Linked DNA regions of Drosophila melanogaster. The protein of the gene in region 2 purifies or fractionates together with the protein of the main gene of each other region. This does not show direct contact. Each region holds a gene or a part of one and is shown on either strand. Other genes may lie near its edges.

Evidence for each region. Proteins that work in one complex are often made in the same cells at the same time.
Region 1: the proteins of Spindly (region 2) and FipoQ purify together in Drosophila melanogaster (affinity purification with mass spectrometry, with the first as the bait; one large-scale study listed by BioGRID). This does not show direct contact.

What each region holds. Positions count from the first base shown.
Region 1 is NT_033777.3:29,493,036-29,498,481, forward strand, and holds the start of FipoQ (F-box involved in polyQ pathogenesis), read left to right. Parts: upstream 1-3,505; 5' UTR 3,506-3,642; coding exon 3,643-3,738; intron 3,739-3,964; coding exon 3,965-4,289; intron 4,290-4,351; coding exon 4,352-4,970; intron 4,971-5,028; coding exon 5,029-5,196; intron 5,197-5,264; coding exon 5,265-5,446. Other genes in the region: diedel, read left to right, coding at 844-1,191.
Region 2 is NT_033779.5:3,526,541-3,533,327, forward strand, and holds Spindly (spindly), read right to left. Parts: upstream 3,778-6,787; 5' UTR 3,747-3,777; coding exon 3,228-3,746; intron 3,164-3,227; coding exon 2,998-3,163; intron 2,932-2,997; coding exon 2,716-2,931; intron 2,658-2,715; coding exon 2,516-2,657; intron 2,376-2,515; coding exon 2,277-2,375; intron 2,217-2,276; coding exon 1,013-2,216; 3' UTR 847-1,012; downstream 1-846. Other genes in the region: CG8852 (uncharacterized protein), read left to right, coding at 1-660; IFT57 (intraflagellar transport 57), read left to right, coding at 4,363-4,659, 4,714-5,476, 5,829-5,986.

The DNA of each region.
Region 1 (5,446 bases), on a different chromosome or scaffold from region 2:
TAACGAAGCTTTTTTCTAAGAAGTTACTAACAATTGTTAGCTTATCTGATTAGTTTAAAAAACTCCTTTTTTTGACGATAGTGAGCATCTCTTGAAATTTAAAATCGATAACTTTGCAACAACAACAACTCTTTGGGCGTCCCTTAACACACACACACACTGTCGCACCTGCCCAAACACACACACATAGAACAGGTTGCAACGCGCACTGTACCAGATATAAACAAACTATAATGTTTGCAGCTACCACTTTCGATGTCCCTTTAAGCAGCTGAATTTCGGTTGCGCAAAGCGTTTAGTTGTTCGCTAATGCTGTTTCTATATCACATTTCTCACAGAATTCAGGGATAAACAGGAAAACTGCACTGCTGACACATACACGCACACAGGCGCACTGCAGGCACACCTACGTTTATCGATATCGATAGGCGGGCGACCGAAGAAGCGACCGAACGGTTGAGCGGCGAAGAAACGACTGAACGACCGTCGTTTCGCCACTGCGTTCTGATCAGAACGGGCCGCTAGTGCTAACGCTTTTAGCCGTCTGGCAACGCCGATCACCAAAATTCAAATGGGATTTCCGTTACAAGTGATCTGTGTTTAAAATTTTATTTTTGATTATTACAAGTTTTATTTAAACTAAAGCGCAGTAACTAGACAGTATTTCATGACTATGTGTTTGAGTTATGTTAGAAGTAAATTTCCCGAGAACTGGGCCTAATCAATTTTCCTAATAACTTGGAGCGCATTTGCCAACTAAGCGAATTCCCTGCACCCACTGTGAGCGTATAAAATCGCTGTTTGCCGGGGTGAAAAGCATTAGTTCTCCCAGTAAATCCAATCATGGCATCCCCAGTAGTCAGCCTGCTTCTCGTCGGGATCTGCGCCCTGGCCTTTGTCCATGTGGCTCGGTCGGAATGCTGCACCTCCCGGGAGCTGGTGGAATTCAAGATGGACAGAGGCGACTGCGAGGCTGTGCGTGCAATCGAAAACTATCCCAACGGCTGCGAAGTGACGATCTGCGCCGATGGTGTTGCCCAGTTGGGCGCCTACTGCGGCCAGGGATCGTGCAACATCTTCGGCTGCAACTGCGACGGCGGCTGTCTGAGCGGCGATTGGTCACAGGAATTTGTGAGGAGGAACCAGCAGTACGGAATCCAGATCATCAAAGTCACCAGGCTGCCATTTTAACCCCTTGCATCACATAAACAATAAAGAGAAGCTTTAATTGCATCCAGAAATTACTAATTAATTATGTGTATTTTATTTTATATATGCATGAAATTGATAAGGTTCCCACTTTCTAATCAAATGTAAACAGTTCAATCTGATTACTAGGAACTATTCTTATTTTTAATCTTGAATTCCATTAATTACGCTATTAACTAAAACTATTATACTAAAAAAAAAACAACTATCATCAAAATCTGAGATGATATGGGCTAATTTTTGAATAAAATCCAGTGCTCAAATCATAAGAAGTGATTTTTTGTAGTTTCTAGCATTTGTAATATCTGTTTCCCAACGATCGACCACGCCCCCTGGGCAACCGCCCCTCTGTTGGCCGCTCGCCATGGGAAAAGCAAATGACGCCTGCACTCGCAGAGATCGCCCCGAATAACCCCTCCATATCCACAGATCCACAGATCCCCAGATGCCCATGTAGCCATGTACTCCGCATGTAGTACGATCAACTAGCCGAGTGAATTTTGGCATAAACCATTTTCCGCGGACGCCTGATTTTCTCAGTTTTCTCAGAGTTGTGGAGCCGTCGAGAACGCGGAGCATTCGCCCATGTAAAGCCGCAGAATCCGTCGATTTTCGCCGGAATTTATCAATCCGATTTGCCAGTAATTTGCAACAGAATAAGTGAATTTGCCAAGTGAATTTCCCTAGTTTTTTTTTTCAACTTGCAACGAAAGTGCTAAAGTTACGAAACTGCACTTTCCACGTTGCACTTGCAACCCCAACAGTTTTTTCCACCAGATCCACCAGCTGAGGGAAAACTATTAATAAACCGGGCGAAGGATGAAACAAATTCAGATGTGACGCCCATCCTCGTCGAAAATCAAAAGTCGCAAGTGAACAATGTGTGTGTGTTCACTGAGTTTGCATAATTGTGAATTTGCTATTTTAATCGCCTGCGGGCATCAATTAATTAATTAATTAAAAGCTTTCCTTCTCGCACTCGTTTATTTGCGGAAAGTGTCTAACAATTTCGTTTGATCAACTAATCAAATGGGTAAATAACATAGTAAAAACGAAGTTTTAACTAACTGCTTTCGCTTGCTTACTTAATATACTTATACTTTCCAGAACTAATAGACTACTGAATATAGATTTCCTATTAATTTGCTTCAAAATGTGGTAATTTAATTAGCTTAGCTGCTTGTAAACTAATAATTTCTAAATAACAATTAGTTTGAAATGCTCAGAATTCAGTGTGACTAATTGGGAAAGCCTTGCAGAAATAGTTTAGCTCATGAATGAATGTATCTCATGCGAGTATAGCCGGCACATCTCCTCCCTTAGTTAGATACATAGATACATAGATACATAGATAGAAGCGGACGGATCCAGCAAGACCATACATACATACATATTGTACAGCTGAGACAGCGAACACCTTCAGCTTTCCGGCTGATCCCAATCCAAATCGCGAACTAGAGCGCAGTGCCCACCATGGATAATTGGAATGTTTTGGCAGCGCAAACCTCCTCGCAGGCCATCGGACTCCACGACTCTGGCGTGGTGAAGACCCGACTGGTGAGTACCCTGTACATAGAACATACACATGTGCAGATAGATATACATATTAGATGTAGTAAACAAAACAAAGCCAGACAGACGAACGATGGCGTATATATAGAATTCTTGGCAACAAACATTGTGCACTGAGAAAGTAAAAGGGGTTCGAAATCTATTATTACTATTAAATATATATATGCAAAAGCAGGCTGTGCGGAAATGTATCTTAAAGTAGGCGCTAAAGGATAAAGCTCAGAAGGTTATTCCTCGGGAAACAGAAGCATTTTCAGATGCATCTTAAAGTATCTAAGAAGTAGAAATATCTTAAGATGAATCCATAGGTTATCCGAACCTACAAAAGGTAGATACTATCAGCAATATCAGATACTTTTAGATATAAGTAAAATATAGTAAAATATCTCGAGATACTTTTATACAGCTTACTAATGATTTTGAATCTGACGAGGAAAGGAAGAGATTTGGCAGGGATTTTATCAGCATGTTTCTCCACGTGCACCGCTGGGTGAGTGGTGCTGGTGGTTCTAGTGGTTCTATTTGTTCTTAAAGAGTGCGTGAGTGGTGTGGTGCGTCGCCCGTGAACAGCACAGCTGATGCATCCGAAAGTAGAGTGATTGAGTGATGCGATGTGGCAGTGCTCTCGTTACTGGCGCTGGTCTATAAATAAGCCTAGGGTTCTCTTGAGTCTACTACTGCCTGGCGGATCTTTGGAGATTCCGATGGCACGTCGATGGGAATGCGGCTCGCAGTAGCGCGAAAGTAGCTCGATACGACGGATATTCTCGCCTCGCAGGCAGAGCACGCGTAGTTTGCCCCGTGTGTAGCTATATTTTTTTTTTATATAAGCAAGTGGTTCCGAATCATCCACACCCAGCCATGGATATATCCACCGATATCTGGGGTCAGCTGGCCGTGGAGGCATCGCAGGTCTACCTCTCCGACGGCACAGTTCGCAGTCCCTTCGCCGATACGGTACGATGGGTTTGGGATATTACTTAGGGATCCCACTCATTTGGGAGAGCCAGTCTGTGGCGTAAGAGAGAGTATCTATAGATTCACTCACCCGTAGAATATATAGCACCACATTCGCACTCAACTATTCCGAACTGTCGTTTAGATTTACATTTAGAGATCATATTTGAATCACTTATGTAGTACCATAGGATATACCACTATATATCGTGACTCTCATCCACAGACCATTGAGAAGCTGCCGGACAAGGTGCTGCTGCACATCTTCTCGTATCTGTCGCACCGCGAGATCTGCCGCCTGGCCAGGATTTGCCGACGATGGCGGCAGATTGCATACGACACGCGGCTGTGGAAGAACGTGAGCCTGCGACCGGAGGTCTCCGGACTGCACGTGGGCTCGCTGGAGATGCTGCTGCAGCTGATCTCGGTGAGATTCGGACCGACTCTGCGCTACATCGAGCTGCCCATCGAGCTGATCACGCACACGGTGCTCCACGAACTGTCCGCCAAGTGCCCCAATTTGACCCACATGCTGCTGGACTTCTCCACAGGTGGGTGCGCCACGTCGCCGATCGTCCGTCTTAAACTCTAGAGTGTCCTGTGTACTTCTTAGCCATGCAGCTGCACGACTTCAGCGAGATGCAGGCCTTTCCCACCAAGCTGCGCTACATGTGCGTCTGCCTCTCGGAGGTGATCTTCATGGAGGGCTTCATGCGCAAAATCTACAACTTCATCAACGGCCTGGAGGTGCTGCATCTAATTGGCACGTACGAGAAGTGCGAGGAGGAGGAGGAGGAGATCTACGAGGTGATCAACGTGCACAAGCTCAAGTCGGCCACGCCCAATTTGCGTGTGATCAACCTGTACGGCATCAACTTCATCGATGACTCGCACATCGACGCCTTCAGCTCGAACTGCATCCAGCTGGAGTGCCTGGCCGTCAACTTCTGCAACAAAGTGACCGGCTCCACCCTGAAGACCCTGATCCAGCGTTCCAAGCGCCTCACCTGCCTGCTCATGAACGGCACCAGCCTGAAGTCGGAGTTCGTCATGCAGGCCGAGTGGGACAAGTGCGCCCTGCAGGAGCTGGACATCACGGCCACCGATCTTTCGACCGAATGCCTCGTGGACATGCTGAGCAGGATCCCCAGCCTCAAGTTCCTCTCAGCCGGCCAGATCAATGGCTTCAACGACAGCGTTCTCAAGCAGTGGATGGAATCGGGCACCACCAGGTGAGCGGAGACAGTACCTACCCGTCTGTGTAAGCACTCCGATAGCAGTATGATTTAGGTCGCTCATTTCCCTGGACTTGGACTCCTCGGACAACATCTCGGATGAGGGCCTGCTTAAGTTTATACAGCGCCAGGGTCATCAGCTGAGCGCCTGCTGTCTCTCGGGCATGCCCCACATCACCGACCAGCTGTGGATGAGCATCCTGCCCCTGCTGGGCAACTGCAAGTAGGCGACACTATTGGTCATCGAATGAAAAGACATTTTATTATGAGCTGAACTTTCTTAACCTGCAGGATCATTGTTATGGGCACCGCAGAGAAGCTGGGCGTCAACATCCACGTGGACCAGCTGATGGACACCATCGCCTCGAATTGCGGCAACTTGGAGCGGCTGGAGCTGCGCTGGGATCCGGACAACCTGCGCTTCTCCGACAAGAGCCAGAAGGCCATCGATATTCTGCGCGTCAAGTGCCTCA
Region 2 (6,787 bases):
GAACCGCCCAAGGTGCGAAGAATCATGCACGTGAGGATCAATGGGACAGACTCTTCGATTCCCGTGCCACATCCACATGGAAATGTTTCCAGTTTCACTGTCCTTTACGGCAACCCCGTAGAACTGCACCGAAGTCAGCGATCTTTAGCCTTGATAATCGTGTTTATGTTGCCCCTGGGCATCGCATTCCTCTTCCTGTTGCTATATCTATACCTCCATTGCGAGCGGCTCTTCCACTTGTCCTATTACGCCTCGGGATTGCCCTGTTTTGGTGGCGAAAAATCATCCAGTGGGCCGAGGTTTGTGGATCATGTGGACATAGTGCGCTATCCCATTGCTAATGGCGGTTCCAGTTGCCCAGTGGATGTGGAAACCGAATTGCCAGATGGATACGAGACTCCTGTAAGTGGAGGTACCTCGATTTGCAATTGCACTGGTCACAGAGAATCCACCTGCTCGAGGACCCATCATGTCACCTACGAGTCCTTACCAGCTGAGCTGCCCTATCAACTGTACGCAGAGATCAAGGAGCAGGCGGATGAGAATGGGGATGCGGATGAGGTGCTGGCCGTGACTACCGGCCCTACGGCTCCCATCTACGATCATCTGTCGTTTGTGGAGGAGATGCCAAAACTGGATGAACTGAGAGATATATCCTAGGTAGAATCCATCTTTGATATACTTAATTCCTTAATAATTTCTAGGCTTTGTAAATTTCAGTTGTCTTTGAATACGTAAATAGAGAACACGAATCTGGATGGATTATTCTTTTACAGTTTAAGGTCGCACAACAGCAAAGGTACTGCTGGTTACACCTAGGGTAGTTTAAGTAAGCTCAACTGTATTAATAAAGAGTTGATTTGTTTTTATTGCTAAGTTTTTTTTTAGTTCGTAGTGTATTTGTAAAGAATAAAGTCTCTGCACCCTGATTTGCTGTGCCCTGCGTTGTTATTATTTGTTAAGTTTTTATAAGTCTAAATTCGATTTAAAATTTCCATTGGAATTCATGCAATCATTTCATAATTGGTTTACGAGAGCTCACAACAATACGCCGTATGATGTTTGGCTTCTTAATTGTGGGTTTTACGTCCTGGTTGTCTTCACTTTCCTTTGGCTTGTCATTTTCCTTGGTGGTTTCCCCATTTGGACATCTCTCAAGCGGACTCAAATTGTGAACAATGGGATCGTTCGCGCTAAACTTCACAGCCTTTTGCGAATCTTCGGCGAAGACTTGCCGTTTTTTGCTGAGGATAGAGCGGATATTTTCGTTGGTCGAGTCTTTGATGACGGGAATCCTCACAGGAGTTCCTTTGCGCTGCGGTTTTTGTGGCGTTGGACTGTCCAGAATTTCCACACTCAATGTCCCATCTTGCTTGATGGGAGATTCCTTGGCCGCCTCATCGCTGCTGTCTTCAGTTTCCGTTTCCAGCTTTATGAGCTTCACAGGAGTTCCTTTGCGCTGCGGTTTAGCAGGCGTTACTGTACCAGGCAGTCTTGCTCCCAGCAGTTCTTCGTTGGACTTCACCTTTATCCCTCCCAGTCGCTGCTTAACTGGGGTACCCTTCATCAAAGGTTTGGCTGGGGTTTCCACGGAATTTAGACCCGTTTCTTCGTTTTCATCTTCTTGTATATTCATTTGAGGTGTTACTCCATCGTTTTTGGCTTTGACTGGAGTGCCTTTCAGCTGCGGTTTTGGAATTAATTCTGGAGCTTCCAACTCCTTTTTGATATCAACCGCGTCCTGCTGTTCCAAGTTTAAGTCGATTTCTCGTTTTATTTTCATACCCATAATTGTCTTAATAGGTGTTCTTTTTATACAAGCCTTGCTTTCGGATACCTCTAGTTCCTGTTCGACTTTTACGGATGTGTCTTTTAGTGCTGGTTTTAATTCTTGGCTAAGTGGCTCCACTACCTCTTCTTTAATGGCAGGCTTTAAGGGCGCATCAAGAACAATAATTTCCGTTGCAGTTGGAAAAGACTTGCTTGTGGTTTCCGCAGCCGATTTCAAAGATGTTTCTGGATGTGTATGTAGTTGAGCTGATGATGATGGAGATTGTGCCGCTACACTGACAATGCGGGGCAATGCAGTTTTAAGTTCCGCCTCCTTGATGTTAAACTCCATGGCCTGCATGGGCTTGAAAACGATCTTATGCTCCGCCAGCAGATTTTCGCGATCAATGAGCACACAGCGGGATTTTAGGGACTCAAAGCGCCAGCTGAAAATATAAATAATTATAAAATAAATATAGCTTTGAAAAGGAATATAGTGTATATACCGTGCCATTTCCTGCTGAACGCATCGCATCCGTTCCTCCAGTCCGGCCTTCTGGATTCGCATGCTATGCAGCTGCGCCTTCAGCTCGTCCGTTTCGCGTCTAAATTGGGATGATTTTTAGGAATTAGGGGTGTGGAGGCTACCTAACTGGTCAGCAAGAACAGGCCGTAGCTGGTGAGGCTCAGCAACTTATTGCCGAGCGATGCCAGCGCGGTGTCGACCAAGAGGGGCAACTCATACTTGCAGAAATCCAGCATCGAGTCCAGCCAGGTGACCGACTTCTCGCTGGCCAGCTGGCGCAGCCGCTCCTGGGAGAGATTAAGCTGCCGCTCTAGGCTGTCGTTGGCAGTCATCAGTTGCCGGATGCGCTCATTCAGCTTATCTGGGGGAATACTCCTATATTAATCTTCTTTACAGACCAATGAATGTGGATTACTCACTTTGATAGGTCTTGTCCGCACTGCAAAAGATTGTGCTACAGGCCTGCAGCTCCGTGTGCATGGCCACGTTTTCCCGCTTGAGACGTCTGATCTCAAATTGGCTGTCCGTGAAGATCTTCTTCATATCCAGATAGCTTTTTTTCTGGGCCGCCAGGATCTGCTTCATCGCTTGCCTTTGGTCGTCCACCTCAGCGAACAGAGAGTTGCCCTTGCGGTCTATAAAAATAGTGCATAAAGCCCTTTTTAAAACAAATTTTAGGGTGCCATGTTAATCTTAACTACCATTGTTTTCAGGGGCGGAGGTAAGCAGTGCTATCTTGGCATTGGCATCCACCAGTTGCTCCTGGCAACTCTCCAGCAATTGCAGCTTTTCCTCCAGTTCATCCCGCTTGCAGTTCAGATTCTGTTCCATGCAGCTCACCCGATCTTGCAGACATTCGATGGTTTTCTGGGAATTCAGGATAGTATTTAAATGATGTAGTTGTTTAGATACTTATGAGGAATATTTCTACCTCTTTTTCAGCCACCGCCAGAGTGTTTGCGATGCGCAAGTCCTCATACTCGGCCAGCTTTTGCAACAGCTCACAGTTTTCGAGTTCTAGGGCATTCAAACGGGCAAAAAAGTCATCGTGAAGCTGATTTGACCTGGAGGCGGACTTTTCCGCCAGATTCTTTTCAGCGGCAGTCAGCTTATCTTTCAGTGATCTGGTCTCCTCCACCTTGGCGTCGTAGTCTTGCTGTAGGACATCCTGTTCCTCTTTCAGGGTCTTGAACTTTCGACGCAGCTCCTCCAGTTCCTGGCCATTCCCTCCAGACGCGATGGCCACAGGCTGGCTACTCAGATGCTCCAGTTCCTGGGTCAAATACGATTCGGCGGCGAGGGCAGTGTCCAGATTCCTTTTTAGCTCATAAATCCTTTGCGCATCCTTTTCGCTCTGGTCTTTCAGCTGCTGGTGGCGATCGTGCAGCAGCTTGTACTCCTCCACGATGTCATCCACGCTAAGGGTGTCAAGGTCCAAGTTTTTGTACATTTGGTTTGCATAAAAAAGACGCCAATTTTTTATATTTTTCAACCGTCAATCGATATTTGACTCTAAAGTAATCGGTATGGATTGCTCGCATTGTTGATCGATTACAAATAACAGGGAGACTTGTGCTGGTAAGCGCAGACTAACAGTGTTGTTACATTAACGGTTAGCGCCATCTTCCGGAAGAGAAATGCATTTTTAAAAATTTTGACTAAAATTTCACTCAGTTTTAAGTTTTAAGCTAAACAATCTTTCTTTTATTCTAAGTAGAATATTACTTTTGCCTTTGCAACTTTTTACAGCAAACTTCTATACGGCAAGCTATGTTAACCGCATGCTAACATTCAACTCGTTGCCGCCCTCTTCCGGTAATTCAAAGCATTTTTAAATATTAGGCAATATTAAAATTTTTCTTTATTCTAGTAATTAAATGAATGAAAAATGAGCTGATACTAAAAAAAATAGTATAATAAAATAGAAATAAAAGGGTATAAGCTAGGACGCATGCGCTCGGTGTGTTTACACACATATCGTTACCTTGGCGACAATTTTGTTTCCAAACAGCTGGCTCACACTTAACACTAGTTTATTTAGGAACACAACAAATAAAAATTGTAAAATGCAGCAAGATGATGAACAGGAAAAATCCCAGCAGCTACAAAACTTTCAATCCGATGACTTACTGGAAAAATTGAAGTTACTCAACTACGAAAAACATTTGCTCAAGGAATTCAAACTAAAACCGCTGTCGCGTTTCTATTTCGTAAAGGCCACAAATCCCGGAGAGCAATTCTATATGTTTACTTTAATATGCTGGTGGCTATGCAAGAAACTCGGAAAGGATATGGAGCGGCCACAGGAGTACGATGATCCAAACACTGTGGCCGCCAATATCATTAAATTGCTTGGGGAGATTGTGAGTACTAGGACTAAGTTGTATTACTACAATACTACAATATTTTCATTGTAGGATGTCCCAGTGGATTTCCAGCCCAATAAGCTGATTCGTGGAGCTGGACCCATCTGCCTGTCGGTCCTGGAAGTTCTCTCCACACAAGCCTGCAAAGTGGCCCAAGTGGGCTACCAAAAGCTGCACATCGCCCAGGAGGAGGAGTTCCTGGGCGATTATCTGGAGGACAATGCAGAGATCATATTGGAGAAACTGGAGGATGAGCAGAATGCAGCCGCCTTAAGTGATGATAGTGACATGGAGTTGGAGGCGCACAATTTCCGGCAGCTGAACTGGTTGAATCGTCCGCAAAAGAAATCCAATGGAGATGTCAACCTGGATGAACGAAATCCTGAATTAGATGCTCGCATGAGCGATCATCAGGAGTGGCATCTGGAACTGGAAAGAGTCCTGCCCCAACTGAAAGTGTTCGTCAAAGCAGACGCCCGGGACTGGAGGACCCACATCAGCCAGATGGAGACCTTAAAAACAAACATATTGGAAAACTCCGATACCGCCGAGGCTCAACTAAAAAAACTGCACAGCGAGTTCACTTTCGACTTGGAAAAGATCGAAAGCCGCGAAAAACATTTGAACAATGAGCTCAAGCCACTGATTCAGCAGTTCAAGGAGCTATCCATTGAACTGTCCACCATCCAATATGCCCAGAATCAGTTGCAGGAGGACATGGAGAAGCAGACCGCAGAGCTCAACGAGGTCATGATGGAGCAGGAGCTGAAAAAGGAGGAAATGGAGCGACGCGGACAGGCCATGTCGGATGGGAGTGAGTATGGGAAAGTTAAGAGATATTGGGTTACGAATGAAGTGTATATACCATCTTTTCAAAAAGTAACAAAAAATATTCTCATGAATACATATATCAGCATTACAATGGAATTTTTCAAAATTATAAAGAGCACTGACATTCCCATAGATAGCAAATATGGTACCTTTAACACCGACACCTTTCAAACTCTATTTGCCCTGCAATGATAGGACGTCGTCTATTTGCCATCGTAGATCCCTGATTCTGGTCAACAGAAAATCACAGATCCCGATCCCTTTGGAAGCCACCCACAGTGCTATGCGGTGCTAATCCCAATCCCAAAATGCCTCTTCCATTTCTTTTTTATCAGGTTCGGTGCAGCAAATCAGGAAAGCGATCGCCAAACTGAAGGATGACACTGCGCAACTGAATCTGGAGGTGGCTCTGCTGGTGCATGCCCACGACCAGGACATTGTGGTGCGGCAGTTGCAGCAGAACCAAACCACCGACCTGGCAAACAACCCATAAAACATATACCCCGCTGATAAGCACTACTTAGCATGCTAAATGGTACAATATATCTGTATATATCCCTACCAACCAGCCAGCCCGATCTTTTCACACCTCGCGAATGGGTGTGCTCTCGTTTGCACTCGATCTGCAGGAGATAGCTGCACTGGAAAAAAATACGCTGATAGGAGCGTTTATTTTTATTAAAGATGTTTGAATTTATGCGATTGTTTTTACTACAACGGGGTTTTACGCTTGATAACTTCATTTTCTCCGTGTGCACATTATTCTTGTTCGAGACTAAACAAAGAGCTGTTGCTGTTGTGGCCTTTCCAAATTTTAGTTTGTGATTTTTTTCTGAGTGCAAGAATGCATCAGGGGACTTCATTGGACCACCGGCGTTGACCCCGCCCGCTTTGACGATCGTTTGATTCGATTGCCGGTGCCGCTGATAAGTTTCGTAATTGGTTGCCAAGCCAATTGGGCGGTCAATTATCACCTCCTTGTTATCTGCTCCTTGGACAAACACACACACTCACACACACAGTCAAACTCACAACGAGGGTGTAGTTGCAGCAACAAGCGCGTGCGATCCTTATCCTTCGCCGATCGATCGGAGATAACGGTACGGAGGTCCGTGGCGCACGTACTTGACCAAAGAAGCCGCCGACGACGCCGCAACTACCACACAACTACCTCTTACATCGCCGTGCACTGCGAGAAAGCAGTGCAAGAAGTTCTATTACCCTAAATCATAAAAGTGTTATTTTAATGGTTGCGCTTGGCTAATCAGCCTGTGAACTAAAAGCGACACTTCTA